Linked DNA regions of Mus musculus: regions 2, 3, 4 and 5 are each reported to be linked to region 1. The links are microRNA targets in miRTarBase. Many come from high-throughput screens and were not tested one by one. Region 1 holds a microRNA gene; each other region holds the end of a gene's coding sequence.

The links. Region 1 holds the annotated microRNA mmu-miR-21a-5p (UAGCUUAUCAGACUGAUGUUGA, at 2,057-2,078, opposite strand). A microRNA usually pairs through its seed, bases 2 to 8, with sites in the 3' UTR of a target mRNA and lowers its output. Matches are read on the target gene's strand: a 7mer-m8 pairs with bases 2 to 8, a 7mer-A1 pairs with bases 2 to 7 and ends in A, and an 8mer does both.
Region 2: the mRNA of Pten is a reported target of mmu-miR-21a-5p. The part of its 3' UTR that is shown has no 7-base or 8-base seed match.
Region 3: the mRNA of Rc3h1 is a reported target of mmu-miR-21a-5p. The part of its 3' UTR that is shown has no 7-base or 8-base seed match.
Region 4: miRTarBase lists Rpp40 as a target of mmu-miR-21a-5p. Seed matches in the 3' UTR shown: 7mer-m8 at 1,562-1,568.
Region 5: miRTarBase lists Sox2 as a target of mmu-miR-21a-5p. Seed matches in the 3' UTR shown: 7mer-m8 at 994-1,000.

The regions. Positions count from the first base shown.
Region 1 is chr11:86,582,064-86,585,199 of GRCm38, forward strand. Mir21a (microRNA 21a) reads right to left here and starts at 2,095; the gene lies at 2,004-2,095. Vmp1 (vacuole membrane protein 1) reads right to left here. Exons shown (of 12, transcript NM_029478.6): 12 at 1,795-3,136.
Region 2 is chr19:32,819,839-32,822,974 of GRCm38, reverse strand. It overlaps Pten (phosphatase and tensin homolog), which reads right to left. Exons shown (of 9, transcript NM_008960.2): 9 at 1-3,132. The coding sequence ends at 2,947. Among named protein-coding and RNA genes, the nearest start is that of Pten, 64 kb to the right of the region's middle.
Region 3 is chr1:160,967,302-160,970,437 of GRCm38, forward strand. It overlaps Rc3h1 (RING CCCH (C3H) domains 1), which reads left to right. Exons shown (of 20, transcript NM_001024952.2): 20 at 346-3,136. The coding sequence ends at 496. Among named protein-coding and RNA genes, the nearest start is that of Serpinc1, 9.7 kb to the right of the region's middle.
Region 4 is chr13:35,893,918-35,897,053 of GRCm38, forward strand. It overlaps Rpp40 (ribonuclease P 40 subunit), which reads right to left. Exons shown (of 8, transcript NM_145938.4): 8 at 1,187-3,008. The coding sequence ends at 2,810. Among named protein-coding and RNA genes, the nearest start is that of Rpp40, 11 kb to the right of the region's middle.
Region 5 is chr3:34,650,881-34,654,016 of GRCm38, forward strand. It overlaps Sox2 (SRY (sex determining region Y)-box 2), which reads left to right. Exons shown (of 1, transcript NM_011443.4): 1 at 1-1,581. The coding sequence ends at 495. Sox2ot (SOX2 overlapping transcript (non-protein coding)) reads left to right here. Exons shown (of 5, transcript NR_015580.2): 4 at 2,298-2,404. Among named protein-coding and RNA genes, the nearest start is that of Sox2, 2.5 kb to the left of the region's middle. RefSeq lists enhancers at 2,835-3,136, 3,124-3,136.

The DNA.
Region 1 (3,136 bases):
AAAGCCTAGGTTTGAAGTGGAGAACCTGCGATAAGTTTCTGGTGCACTTGCTACATTATGACGTTTCTGCATGTGTCTAAGATCATCTTTGATGATTTAAAAACTGAAGACAGGAGTGGAGAGATGGCAAGCAGGTGGGAGCAAACCCTGCTCATGTGGAAGCCCTGGGTTTAGCTCCTAACACGCCCCACCTGTAATTCCAGCTCCCATGCAATGCCGTGTTCTGACACTGTAATACATGTGCACATACCCCCACACAGATACACGCAACTAAAAAACATATCAGTCTAAAAACCTGAAGTTAAGGCTAGGTGTGATTAGTTCAGGCACTTTGGAGGCAGAGGCAGGCAGAACTCTGAGTCAGAGGCTAAGCTGGTCTACACGGGGAGTCCCAAGACAACTAGGGCTACACAGACAGACCCTGTCTCAAAACATACAGACAAGCAAAATAATGAAACAAAACTGGAGTTATAGGAACATTTACCACAGCAACTTATTAAGCTTAACGCAGGTTTTGTGTTTGGTGGGTGACAGGAATCTCATACTGTCTTTATGCTACAGACAGCAGAGCATGCTGGAGTCAGGAGGAGGTTAAGGAATGCTCACCACAGGAGGTGCTTCTACACTTAGCAGGCGAAAAATACACCATTTGCAGTCTTCTTTTTTTCTAGCTTGTCAGGAGGATGGGACAAGGCCAGTGGTCCTCAACCTTCCTAACGCTGTGACCCTTGAATACGGTTCCCCATGTTGCGGTGATCCCCCAACCACGAGGTTATTTTCATTGCTACTTCATAACTGTAATTTTGCTACTGTTATGAATCATAATGTATTTTAGGAGACAGAGGACTGCTAAGGGGCCATGACCCACAGGTTGAGAACCACTGAACTATATGTTCAGCATCCAAATAAATGGAAGTATCCTTCTTCAGAGCCCCACACTCCAGATTATGTGTACATAAGATTCCAGACCCATTCCATGGCAGTGTCTGATTGAATAAACTGCAGATGGGGCATGCAGCTGGAGTGCAGAGGAACAAAATAAGACTTATGAGATGGAGTCAGAAGGCCCGAGCTCTCTCCAAGTTTCAGGAATATCAAACCATCCACTTGCAAACTTTCTGGGCTCCTACTAGCTAGACTTAAGTAGTAGTATCTTTGGAGACATATAACTATATATTTATGATAGTGGTTAATGAAACCAGGCAACCATGGGACAGAAGAGATATCTCACTGCTTCAGCGGGAATCCAGGACAAATGAACAGAGTTTAGGGCTTGATTAGTCTCCTAGACTTTTAGCTTAGGAAACCATTTTTTTTTTCCTTAAATATTCTATCCTGAAGCAAGTTTTATAAATAAATCCCAAAGACTTAATATAATTCACACTTAACATCTTCTTTCTTCAAATAAACACAAAATAAAATAGTGAGGCAAAGAGATGAAACAATTGCAAAGTAAGGTGGGAATTCTGATGCTAGCTAGCTAACATATGAATTATACTAGTCTAAGCCTGGCAGCACGGTGCATACGAAGTTAATTCTAGCACTTGGGAGGCGAGGGTGTGTTGATCTCTTATGAGTCCAAGACTAGCCTGGTCTCCATAGTGAAGTCTTATCTCAAAATAAATAAGTAAATAAACAAGCAAACAAACAAACAAATAAAAATTTCATTGTTAATTTGGGCATTGCTTTTCAAGTATGGCCAGGTAACAAATTGTTAGTCCCTGTAAAGAAAAAAACATAAACCAACCAGCCAACCAAAAGCCAACAAAGGACAACCTTTCCAAAATCCATGAGGCAAGGTGACTTTTCATTTTTATTTATTTAGTTATGACTGTGACGACTACCCCAATTTCCTAGGAAGTTTTCTCTTGATACTGCTGCTGTTGTACCAAGGTATAAGGGCTCCAAGTCTCACAAGACATAAGGACCACAATTTTTGACTGCAAACCATGATGCTGGGTAATGTTTGAATGAAAACATTTGATATGGATGGTCAGATGAAAGATACCAAAATGTCAGACAGCCCATCGACTGCTGTTGCCATGAGATTCAACAGTCAACATCAGTCTGATAAGCTATCCGACAAGGTGGTACAGCCATGCGATGTCACGACCACGACAGGGGGCAAGCACGAGGTGCTCAGGCAGGGTTTAAAGCAAAGCAAACATCTCTGGTTTGCTGGGGCTTAATGCCAATTCTAGGAAAGAAAGCTGTTTATTTTCCTACCAGGCAAAACAAAATGAACAGGGTCAATCAAAAAAATGTCAAAGGAAAATCACATTGAAATAAAACACAGAAATCACACAGAGAAGTAAGCTTCCACCTGTTAAAGCCGGAGTACAAACAGCTAAAACTAACATGAACATGAAAAAGCCTTTCTTGCTAGTGTCCTCTGATTTATACATCACCACTTCTTGTTTTTATAAAGTAAGAGATTCCCACTCTAGGTGAACCTCATAGTCCCGCTTAGATCTCCAGCCCAACAACAAAACACCTTGGAGGTAGCTCTCTCAGGCAATACATAAAAGCCTGGGCAATTCTGGTTTAAGTCTAATTGGCAAGGCTGCCACTCGCTTTGTAGAAGTGAAAAAGAAACAAAAAACCATAGCACTAAAGAAAACGGACACAATTTCGGAATGATCAAAGATGTCTTTATAAAGTTTTTCACGACTTCATTCTAAATATACAGAATAAAAAATGGCGTACTCATTTGTGAGACACCAACCAGATTTTCCTTATACTGTTTCAAAATTTAAAGATCAATTTCCCCAGAGGGTGTGCAATGCGTCATAAAATGGCCTTTTTGAGGGTGGGAAAGGAAGGCATATTAAATTGTTCCATGATAGACATGCAAGATTGCTATCCAATATATATAACTTATATACATTTGGTGACTTAGAAAAAAACAATCATTTGTGACAAGCCTAAAAAGCCTGACATATTTAACATACTTCAGAAGGTTCTGTGTGGCCCTGTGAAGGTATCAGAAGGCCAGTTTTTGTTAAGTTTGCAGCAGAACATCACATCCACCCTAAAGAATACGACGTGGATTGAACTGAGGGTGTAGACACCTTACCTTAACAAATAAAGTATGTCAGTGTAACATATGGACTAAACTGCTTTCAGGAAGAATGTT
Region 2 (3,136 bases), not on the chromosome of region 1:
CGTCTGCATGCACGACACATTAACAGTATTTAAAGGTAAACGAGGCACTTTGTGGCAACCACAGCCATCGTTATGAACATATTGCACAAATTTTCTAAAACTAAACATGTAACTTGTAACCTACTTTTATTTTTAAAGCTGAAACATTTGATGCTGCCGGTAAACTCCACTTAAGTTTATAACCTGTGCCACAGCAAAGAATGGTGACGCTATTTAATTCAACTACCCTTTTACAATTATGGCAAAAATGTCCAAGAGGAATTACAGAGGACTTGGGATGTACGGGGCCCAACTGTAAGCCTTCTTAAAGGTGATGCCTTCAAGTCATTTCAGACACATAAGCTGCTGCACATCCAAGAGTCTAAGAAAGCATTCCAGAAACACGGGAGAGATCACCTACAGAATGCACTTCAGGCTAATCGTGAATACTGTCATAAAGAAAGTTTGAATTAGGACTCAAAACCCTTTCAGTCATAGCAATTCTTGTCAAATTCTATGGGGATGGTAACTGAAATAAAGTAAGGAGAGTATGTATAATATATATATTTATATATATATAATATATATATAATGCCATTTTTCCATTTCCAATGACTACACCATAAAATGTAAGCAAGGCTTCTCAAAAACACTGAAACATTCAAAATCAAAACCCTCATTCAGACCTTCACATTCCAAAGGAAAAATATTAACAGTGCAACAGCCCATTGTAATGTCATTATTCATGACCTGGCCCTCTGTGTTACATATTGGAACAATACAAGTTATAGTTTAGCATGCTGTGCCCAAAACTAACAAAGAACAGTGTTTATCACTATCTTCAAAACATCAACAGCTGCTTTGCATTTTAGTCAGCCACTTTCAGCTTTTAGGAAAGACAAGGGGGTGTACAGATTTCCATGGTGAGATCTCAGGAAAAGTTGTCTCTGACTTTATCAACAGTCAGTCAATATTCATGTATCAATGTTTAAATATAAATGTGTAAATCCTAAGAGCTTTGTTACAATTTTAAAAACTTTATTGGTTGAGTGAAACTGATGAGGTATGGAAAATACATCAACATTATTTTCTAAGAATATTTTAGATGGCGTTCTGCCTAATCTACTTACCATCAAACTATAAATGCTTCTCTAGTGGGTCCTATGCAATCTGTACTTGTAAATTAACTAGGTCAGACCACAGCTAGTGAACAATTTCAGCACCAATAAGTTATTGAAAATGGGACTTCACACCATTAAGAAATCTAATAATGGCTGGATATTCAAATGTCAAGGTCAAGATATAATTTGAAAGACACCAAATTCCCGAGGGGTTGGGAGGAGATCCTTTGTAATAGCATCTTCACATTACCATTACGATAGTAGTTGTACTCTTGCTTTAAATTGTATGCAGTCTGGGCATATCAAACATAGAATGATATTTAAGAAGTAAAATTGAAGCCCTAATCCCAACTCTACCACTATAACGAAGTGACTCAACACTGCACATTTAAGAAGATCTATTCTTCCAATAGCAAGTCGATAAAGCATCTGTAGGACAATTTCTACTGAAAAACTTCAATGCCTTATTATTCGTGCAGTGCTGTAAATTTACTGCAACTCTAATTTCTTTTTTAACACAAACAATGACTTTTTTAATATACACATTATATGTATTCAGTATTCAAGTAAAATTCCCTAACAGTTAATGACATTTAAAAAAAATGTGCAAAACTGCAAAACTCATTGTAATAGAATGTGTAAGGTCAAAGGGGCTGAACGTCTGACAGCCACTGGACTGAGGACGCGCATCATCAATCTCTAGGAAAAAAAAAAAACAAAACCTGCTTACTGTTGAATCTCAAGTTGAAATTTCCTGTGAAGAATTATAAAATATTTAAGGAGAAAAACAAACTGGCAGCCAGCACATGAAGCATCCACAGTAGGTATATGATTGAAAATTAATAAAAATAAAGGTAAGGTGTTGACTGATGTAGGGACTAATAGCATCTGACTCTTAGCACTGGCCTTGATTACATAGGAGATGGAGCAGTCATTACAACTGAGAAAGCATACTGAATAAATCATTGTCAAATTTTCTGTTTCCAGCCCATCCTTTGTTGAAAGCCTCCACATTTGTATGGTTAAGTCATTGCTGCTGTGTCTTTTATCTATCTATGACCACTTTTTTTATATCCCTTCCTTTGTGGATTCTTAAGATGCTGTAGATGGTTCATTCCTGTACCCCACTACAAATATACTCACTCTAGCTGCCTTGTCTAGCACCAATATGCTCTTTAAAATGCACAAACAAACAGCAGGACAGCAGCCAATCTCTCGGATGTCCAGATTAGTAAGTGGAGCATGCTAAAGAAAGGTGCATCTAAGGAGCTGGAGATGGTGTATGGTCCAGAGCCCAGGTAGAAACATTCCTTTCTGAGCATTCCCTCCATTCCCAACCCAAGTGCATGCATTAGAATCTAACAAAACCCTGCAGAAACTTCCTTAGCCAACTGCAAACTTATCTGTTGCCACAAGTGCAAAGGGGTAGGACGTGAACCCGGGAATCAGAGCTCTTCAGCCACTTCAGCTGGTGACAGAAAATAAAGGAAAAACTCCTGCGTATACACATCAGCCTGTCTCCACTTTTTATAAAACTGGAATAAAATGGGAAAGTGCCATCTTTTATTTATCCTAATTGAATTTTAAATGTCCTTTTGACACAAAAAGGTATATACATGACACAGCTACACAACCTTTTTTTAACTGGACAACAAGTGTCAAAACCCTGTGGATGTATAGGGTAAAACAAGATTGGTCAGGAGAAGAGAATTGTTCCTATAACTGCAATCTGACACAATGTCCTATTGCCATTTAAAAAAAAAAAAAAAAAAAAAAGGTCCATTTCAGTTTATTCAAGTTTTTTTTTTTTCATGGTATTTTATCCCTCTTGATAAGAAAAAAAAAATCAGACTTTTGTAATTTGTGAATGCTGATCTTCATCAAAAGGTTCATTCTCTGGATCAGAGTCAGTGGTGTCAGAATATCTATAATGATCAGGTTCATTGTCACTAACATCTGGAGTCACAGAAGTTGAACTGCTAGCCTCTGGATTTGATGGCTCCTCTACTGTTTTTGTAAAGTATAGTTTCACCTAG
Region 3 (3,136 bases), not on the chromosome of region 1:
TACGTATAGAGTAGGAAGCTTGTCAGTTTTAGTTTATCATCTATGCTACAGTGTGGATGAGGAGTTAGAATCAATATTTGGAAGCTATTTATGTAGTTATTTTTATTTTGGCTGTTTGAGACAGTCTCATTGTGTAGCTAGCCTTGGTTGGCCTGGAACCAATCTAACCTAAAACTGATAAAGACCAGCTGCTTCTGCCTTCTGCTTGAACTAAAGGCATGTGCTCTACTCCAGCCTCATGTTTTTCTACAGTGCTAAATAATAAGCCCTATTGATTGGATTTTATTTAGAGTAATTGCTTTTCTCTTTCTATAAATTCCAACTATTTTTTCATGTAATTTACAGTGATGTACCAAATGGATCAGCCTTGACACAAGAGAATCTCAGCCTCCTATCAAACAAGACCAGCTCTTTGAATCTGTCAGAAGACTCTGAGGGAGGAGGAGATAACAATGATTCCCAGAGATCAGGAGTTGTTTCCAATTCTGCTCCCTAGAATATGGGCACCTGCTTCTACCTTCTGCTCCTAATCAGTTCATGGGGCATAGGGATAGAAAAATGGATAACTTCTAAACTTTTTCTCTGAGTGGTCAGTGAAGTCCAGGAAAAGCACCGGAGGCAATGTGCACAAACACCACTACTAAACAAACCTGCACATAGTTCACATTGATGCATTTTTTTAATTTTAAGAAAAAAAAATTAGCAGTATCTGCAAGCAATTCAGATTAAATTTGTTTTTGTTCTGTGAATGAACTTTATTTTAATAACTTTGGACGCCTTGGATCCGGGGCTTTAAAAAAAAAGAAGATATTATATATACACTCTGTTTGATTAATTGTATGATCTTAATGAAGTAGGTTTTTCTTGTATTTTGGTATTATTACATACCCAGTGTATAATTCCTTTTCCCCAGTCCTTTCCAACTCTCACAACCCTGTAAACTAAAATAGACAAAAATGCACCGTTTCCAAGAATTCTGTGGTAATAGATTGGGTTATTAGAAACTGTGCAGCAAACTAATTTTATTAGAGCTATTCTTTAACCCCAGCCCTGTTTCTGGATCACTAGCTCTGTGGATAGATACTTGTTTTTTACAACATTAAAAGTTTATTTGAGTGGATATGGTTTTAGTTTCAACTTTTCAGAGATGTCAACATGCAGTTGATTGTTTGAGCCACATTTTGGTGTCAAGCATTCCTTGCATTATCTCCTTAAAATCTGAAAGCCTATTTAGTGTTTACAATGTTTAGTTAGATTTAAATGAAGATTATTTTATTTTAAGAATGAACTCTGAATTGGATATAATGGCTCATTCCTGTAATCCCTGGCCTCAAGATGTTGAGGCAGGAAAAAACAGAATAAGAAGAAAAGAAATGAACTTCAGCTTGTTAATAGTGAAAATAGGCATTTCCTGTTCTCCTATGTGGAGCTCATGTTGGAAAATTCGAGCTGTGTTTACAAATTAAACTTGTCTTGAAACCCTAGAATAGAAAAACCAGGACAGTGAACCATACTCTAAAGCTGGGAGCCGGCTCAGCAGAAGAGCACCGGCTGCTCTCCCGGGTTCTTGGCAGCACCTGCAGGGTGTCTCCCAGTTCCACTTTCAGGGACATGACACCCTTTTCTGGCCCTTGTGGACACCAGACACAATGAAGAAAATTTTTTAATTAAAATAAAACTTAACACTCGATAGGAGCTTCAGTAAACAAGGACATATTATTTCAATGGAATTTTTGTTTTCCTTTCAAAAGCGTTAAAGATTTGGCAGATAGAAACTGACTGAGTCTTCAGGGTAGTTCATGCTTTGGTCACTTGTCAGTAATCAGAATTACTAGAATAACTATAAATAACTTGAAGTGAGTTTTTATAGACCTGGCTTTCTGACATTAAAAATGTTTATGAAAAAGTTGAAGAGTGAGGAAGAATTTTTATTTAGTTCTGCTGCACATATTCTAATGCTAACCACTGTTTGCTTAATTTACTAAGCCCCTCTAAAATGAGTTCAGCAAGGCAATGTTTCGTAGAATCACTCCATCCCTCTGATTGCCTGACGTCAGTTTCCCTTTCTAGATGATGCTACAAAACAAGAAAGCACTGGTTATGTAATAAGTTACTGCATTGCTTTGGTTGGGTAAAAGCAAACGTTTATATTTTTCTTATTTCTATTTCCTGAACCCTTAACTCTGCTGAGGTCTGCGTCACCTCAGTCTAAGCTCTGTGTCCATCATCTTGTTAATTGAAACAAGTGGGTGGGGGTGGGATAAGAGTGGGAGGGGTGGGAAGGGAAAAATAGTCCTGCCATTGCCTACCAGTAGGAAATCCAAACAGAACACTCATTTGAGTAGCGATTATTTAATTTGCCCAGTCAAGGCACCGTGTTTATATACTATTTCACATTGAATTTGATTATGCCCTACAGACCTGGCTGGTCAAGGATTTGATATACACATATTGGCTTGGGATTCGAGCTTTCTTTTTTATTTAAATAAAAATTTATATATATATTATATATATACATATATACATGGCTATATCTGTATATATATCGGGTATGTTTTAAAGATTTCTTCGCATGAGCGCAGCTGTTGCAATAAGATGACTGATTGGGAGGTAGAGGCACCGAATGACGGTGAGGCATTTCTCAGTTGATGCATACATTTTCCTTTTAATTTTAAATACACATTTGTACATTTGCTTTTTTTGGACTTTTTTTTTTAAGATAAAATGACTCTTACATTTATACTTTACTCATTATTTATTGAGATGAGGAGAGAAATGTTATGCCTGACAGGATTTTTATTTTTCTGCATATCTATAAAACGCCACATTATTGGCCTCTTGCCTTCAGTAGACAGATTTGGGTGGGTCTTACCTCCTTTGGACATTTCAAGATAATTCCTAAGTCTTAGAAGCAGATGGGTTTTTGTTGTTGTTGTTTTTAAAATTGGAATAACTAGGGGGAAATCTGCATATTGGTTTTCTTGGAGTTAAGAATAAAAGTAAATTTTCATTGTAGTGTGTATGAGACCCCCAAAATGTACTCTGCTGCGGTGCACTAGTATCCTTTTAGGTATATTTTTATTTAGGGAGAAAATTAGTCTTTTAAATGGTAGTATGAGTTCCCCAAGCCCCTCTC
Region 4 (3,136 bases), not on the chromosome of region 1:
TGACTCATGAAGAGCTTGACAAGGAAAATGCCACCTGGAATTAGAAGCCTGTGTCCAAATGAGAAATCTTAACCCGGGGCTGCAGCAAAACAAGACACGGATTGTGAGATGAAAATGAGGCTCATTTGGCTTCTGGCCATTTCTTCAGTAACAAGTAGGTAGCACATGGCACAGGTCAGTGCTCTGAATTACTTCAGACTATTGGTTGATGGAAGGCACTGAAGGATGAATTTGGGCTTCTCAAGCAGTGGAGATATCAGGCTCTGAAGGACTGAACCCTGACAGCTTCCTAGAAGTTTATTGTTACACAAGAAGGCACCTTCAGCAAGTCCACTTCCACTTAAGAAAACTTATCTCACCTAGGGGTTGTCTTGAAAGACCCTTCACCTCAACGATGCTCAGCCACATGAGACTTCCTGGTTTGCCAGGCATAATTTTGCTAGCCTAAGATACACAAAGGCTCTGAGAATCCTTCAGAAGAATAACCCCATAAAATCTCAAATAACAATCACTGGCAAAAGGCTACTTCCGAAGCCTAGGGGCCATCCCTCCAGACTGAAGTCAGATACAAAGGGTCTGCTCAAATCCTGCTACAAGCACAGGCTTCCTGCTGGAAAGTGCAGTACACTTGCACACAGCTTCCCTGCTAGTCTAGATATGCCTGCAGCACATGTCCTAGGAGGCTGCGCTAAGAGACTCTGGGAATGGTCTTGGCTCCTACCAAGAAGAACCACCACCTGGCTTTGTTGGTTCACCACTGTCAACATACTTCTTGTTCTAAATGTGAGAAAACTACCTTAGTTGGGTTGTAGGTCACTCCCACTCCTACCTCCATTTCCTGATACTTCTTCCTAGAAGGCAGCTCTAAGTTAATTTTCTTATTTTATTCTTTAAACTCCATAGATTTCTTAAAATGGAAAATAGGGGCTGGTATTGTAGCTCAGTGGTAGAGCAAGAGCCTGGTATTCAGAGGCCCTGCATCCTATCCTGGCAACAAACTCTTCTAAAGGAAGCTAATTAATATGGCATTGGCATGTGTAGCTTGAAATCTAGTTTTGTTTGTGGTGCCAGGGATGGGACTCTAGGCAAGAACCCCATCAACTAGTCTAAAAGGAAATTTTAAAAAAGCAACCTGGGATTACTCAAGAGAATTAATAGCCATAAGTCATATTCCTAATTGCAGTTGACATGAGAGCAGAAGCACCCCAAAACCAAAACCACCTCTGACTTCCTGCTGGGCTGGTGCTTACATTCTTGAGGGAGAAAGAATAGAACGGTTGGAAGATTCAGGGTAGGGGGCAGGTATACATAGTATTGGGTCACATGATGACAGGGACATGGGCTAAGGCAAGTATTGACAGGCAATTTGGTTGTTACGTGATCACTGCAGGAGATACTTGCATAAAACCAGATGGTTTATTGCCTTCTAGACATCTAGGATATATGATACACAGACACAGACACAGACACAGACACAGACACAGACACACACACACACACACACACACACAGAGAGAGAGAGAGAGAGAGAGAGAGAGAGAGAGAGAGAGAGAGAGAGAGAAGCTTATTGCTTCCAGGATCATGATGAACAAAAAATGAAATTAAGGGAAGCTGCAAAAGGTAATGGATGTGGTTAAAAGACGTGGTGATCAATAGCTGCTCCCAATATCATCCCACGGTGATTCATACTTTTCTATAAGTAGAAGGAGTAAACTCATAAGCCAGTAAGTTATTAAGTGTCATGTGCTGTACACACTTCTAATTACTGAACTTCACACCACTGGCAGCAAAGGAGGGTTTGTTCACACCACTGTCACATAAGCACGTGAGCAGCGTGTGCTCTAAGAGTCAAGATGGCTGTCACGTCAGCAAGGACCCAGCCTTAGCCTACTAGACATGCTGTGTGCTGAGAATTGCCTTGGAGTCCAGAAGACGGTGAGTGAGTCCCAGATGTCAGGCCCTGTGATTCTGGAGCTACCTTTTTGGACTTTGGTTTTAAGTGTGGTTCTTCCCTTTTGCTGTAAGAAGGTATTCAACCTTGATTTTATAGGAAGTCATGGTTAAGGAAGTTTGGACTTTTAAGAGACACTGAATTTTTACGTAGTGGTGTTCTTAAAAGACGGTGTGACTTTTCAATTTGCACTGTATTTTATATCAACATGAGATCCTGGGGACACACAAAAATTCTGATGGTTCATCTTGGTTATCTGCTGATACACTTGGGCGGAAGAAACCTCAGTTGAGGAACCACCTCCATCAATCTGGCTCCTAAGCATGTCTATGGGGTATTTTCTTGAATGCTGGTTCATCAAGGGGGGTCCAGCCAACAGTGGGCGGTATTAATCCTAAGCAGGTCCTGGGCTATATAAGAAAGCTAGGTGAGCAAGCCGAGTGGCATTCCTCCATGGTCTCTGCTTCAGTTCCTGTCTCTAGGTTCCATCACTGATGATGGACTGCAGTCGGTCCTGTCCTCACAGACGTTGCTCTGGCCAACAGAAAACCAAACTAGAAGAGTTCATCCATGATTAGCACCTAGAACACTCACCAAGTGCTCCACTCCTGCTATTCTCAATCATTCCGGTTTACCCTACTCTCTAGTAAGCAACACTCTGCATTCAACTGAAAAACCAGCTCAGAGCTGATCGTAGGATAAGCAGCCAGTGCACAGGGGCCACGGCACAGGAGGAAGCAAGCCAGAGCTGAGCTGGGAAGCTAATCACTGTAGCAAGTCTGGGTGACATATAACACTTTGTGATGAGGAAACATGACAACAAACAAGCAAGGTGTGACTCTATAAACTTTGCATCTTTTATGGTGGGCAGTCATCATTTGCCCCAACAGCCATCTGAAGCCAATAGTCCTGATTATTGAAAACCACAAAATTGTACAAGTGCTCGCCTCCTTTATGGAAGCCATGTTCCTTCTCTCTCCAGGCAACGGGGCTGTCTGCAAAGCCTTGAACTGTCAAGGTGACCCATGGAGCCAACTTTGGTTCATCGAAGTAGTGACTGAAAAAGAAAGAAAAGAAAGAAAGAAAATTCTTATAAACAAGAGGTCAAGAACATCCACATTGTATCTACTGCTCTAATTAAGCTGAGACTCTATTTTGATTTATAAAAACTAGGCTATGTGAATT
Region 5 (3,136 bases), not on the chromosome of region 1:
AACCAGCGCATGGACAGCTACGCGCACATGAACGGCTGGAGCAACGGCAGCTACAGCATGATGCAGGAGCAGCTGGGCTACCCGCAGCACCCGGGCCTCAACGCTCACGGCGCGGCACAGATGCAACCGATGCACCGCTACGACGTCAGCGCCCTGCAGTACAACTCCATGACCAGCTCGCAGACCTACATGAACGGCTCGCCCACCTACAGCATGTCCTACTCGCAGCAGGGCACCCCCGGTATGGCGCTGGGCTCCATGGGCTCTGTGGTCAAGTCCGAGGCCAGCTCCAGCCCCCCCGTGGTTACCTCTTCCTCCCACTCCAGGGCGCCCTGCCAGGCCGGGGACCTCCGGGACATGATCAGCATGTACCTCCCCGGCGCCGAGGTGCCGGAGCCCGCTGCGCCCAGTAGACTGCACATGGCCCAGCACTACCAGAGCGGCCCGGTGCCCGGCACGGCCATTAACGGCACACTGCCCCTGTCGCACATGTGAGGGCTGGACTGCGAACTGGAGAAGGGGAGAGATTTTCAAAGAGATACAAGGGAATTGGGAGGGGTGCAAAAAGAGGAGAGTAGGAAAAATCTGATAATGCTCAAAAGGAAAAAAAATCTCCGCAGCGAAACGACAGCTGCGGAAAAAAACCACCAATCCCATCCAAATTAACGCAAAAACCGTGATGCCGACTAGAAAACTTTTATGAGAGATCTTGGGACTTCTTTTTGGGGGACTATTTTTGTACAGAGAAAACCTGAGGGCGGCGGGGAGGGCGGGGGAATCGGACCATGTATAGATCTGGAGGAAAAAAACTACGCAAAACTTTTTTTTAAAGTTCTAGTGGTACGTTAGGCGCTTCGCAGGGAGTTCGCAAAAGTCTTTACCAGTAATATTTAGAGCTAGACTCCGGGCGATGAAAAAAAAGTTTTAATATTTGCAAGCAACTTTTGTACAGTATTTATCGAGATAAACATGGCAATCAAATGTCCATTGTTTATAAGCTGAGAATTTGCCAATATTTTTCGAGGAAAGGGTTCTTGCTGGGTTTTGATTCTGCAGCTTAAATTTAGGACCGTTACAAACAAGGAAGGAGTTTATTCGGATTTGAACATTTTAGTTTTAAAATTGTACAAAAGGAAAACATGAGAGCAAGTACTGGCAAGACCGTTTTCGTGGTCTTGTTTAAGGCAAACGTTCTAGATTGTACTAAATTTTTAACTTACTGTTAAAGGCAAAAAAAAAATGTCCATGCAGGTTGATATCGTTGGTAATTTATAATAGCTTTTGTTCAATCCTACCCTTTCATTTTGTTCACATAAAAAATATGGAATTACTGTGTTTGAAATATTTTCTTATGGTTTGTAATATTTCTGTAAATTGTGATATTTTAAGGTTTTTCCCCCCTTTTATTTTCCGTAGTTGTATTTTAAAAGATTCGGCTCTGTTATTGGAATCAGGCTGCCGAGAATCCATGTATATATTTGAACTAATACCATCCTTATAACAGCTACATTTTCAACTTAAGTTTTTACTCCATTATGCACAGTTTGAGATAAATAAATTTTTGAAATATGGACACTGAAATTATGCCTGAGTCTTTCATTTCTTTGTGGCTAGCATGCTTATACATAACTTCTTGGGGAACTGGATAACTGTTCAGCCACCAAGATCTTGATGTTACCAGCAATGTCTGTTAGCTTTAACTGCAGAAGAAAAAAATGGCCGAATGATTAATAACGGGGAACTGAAATGCGTTGACATTTCTAGAATAGAAACTAGAAGCATATATTGTAAGTTCACCCCCCTCCTTCCCTGAGCAGCGTGAATAAGCGCGATGTGGGCTTAAGCTCGCTTTAGCACTTGTTGCCAGAACGAGTCAATTCTGAAAATTTTCGTGTAGCTTAGCAGATGAGATACTGCGCCAAATCAGAACCAGGTTGGCTGGGTTGGTTTTCATTTTCTTCACAACACAATGGCCCTTTGAAATGTGGTTTATAGGGGAAAATGATGCTTCTTGTATCGGAATAATTACAAAGTAGACGCGCCGAGCGTTCTGCGGGGTAGGTGGTTGGGTGACTCCTAGCTCTGTCTGCTATTGTGTGAGGAAACAAGTGGTTTTCTGTCTTTGTTTCCTGACTTCATAAACTTTGTCCTCTACGTTTTCCTGTTTGGGGTGAGGGAAAAGAGAAGAGCGGCTTGCAAAATTCCCTTAATTATCATGGACTTTTTATTTATTTATTCCCCCCCCCTTTCTCCCCCACCCCCCCCCCCACTCCGGATTCCACTTCTTAATTTGGCAGCGCGGGTCCAAGCCTGTAGTCCCAAATCGGAAAATCTCTGCAGCTGGTACACGCAAAAGAGAAGCCAGGCAACAGACATATTACAGAAGAAAGCTCTCAACTCCGAGGTAGATATTTCGCATTGTGCGCTCTCATCACATTTGGACATGATTGTGCTTTTGATCTGTTAACTGTTTTACTACAGTAGTAGAGAGAGGGGGAGGAGAGAGGGTGGGGAAAGGAGATTGGATTTGCTGTTTTCTTTTGCTCCAGGAAAAGTAAGAGGCTGGCGACGTCCTCGGTTGGAGCGGAAAAGTTGGGGGAACCGCCGTGGTCTTTAAGTTCAACCAGCGGCTCTAGCGTAGCCGAGGAAGTCGCTGGCCCGCTTTGCTTTTTTTTTTTTTTTTTTTTTTTTTTTTTTTTTTTTTTTTAATTGGCTCCTGGTTTCGGTCATCTTCTATCCAAAGGCACCAAGAACCAGAAATGGGGCGTCCTTGTGAGTTCTGCATTGCTTCTTATTTCTAGAGCGTCCACTAGCTGCATCTCTGCAGAAGTTAGGATCCCGGGGCGCTTTCTGCCCTTCAGCCGAGTACCGGCCGCCGCCAGTTCTCTCAGCCTCTAGGCCTGTGTCGCCTCTTTTGCAAGAAAGTAATTTCTTTCTTAAAGAGCTACTAATAATGTTCTTTGGAGGATTATGAAGGTCCTGTTTTCTGTGTTTATATTTCTTCTCGGTCTTTTCATTTCAGGTGTAGAGTTGGTTGTTTGATTCTTTATTTTCGTTTTTAGGGTAAGGTACTGGGAAGGGACATTTATTCAGTTCCCAGTCCAAGCTAGGCAGGTTCCCCTCTAATTAATGCAGA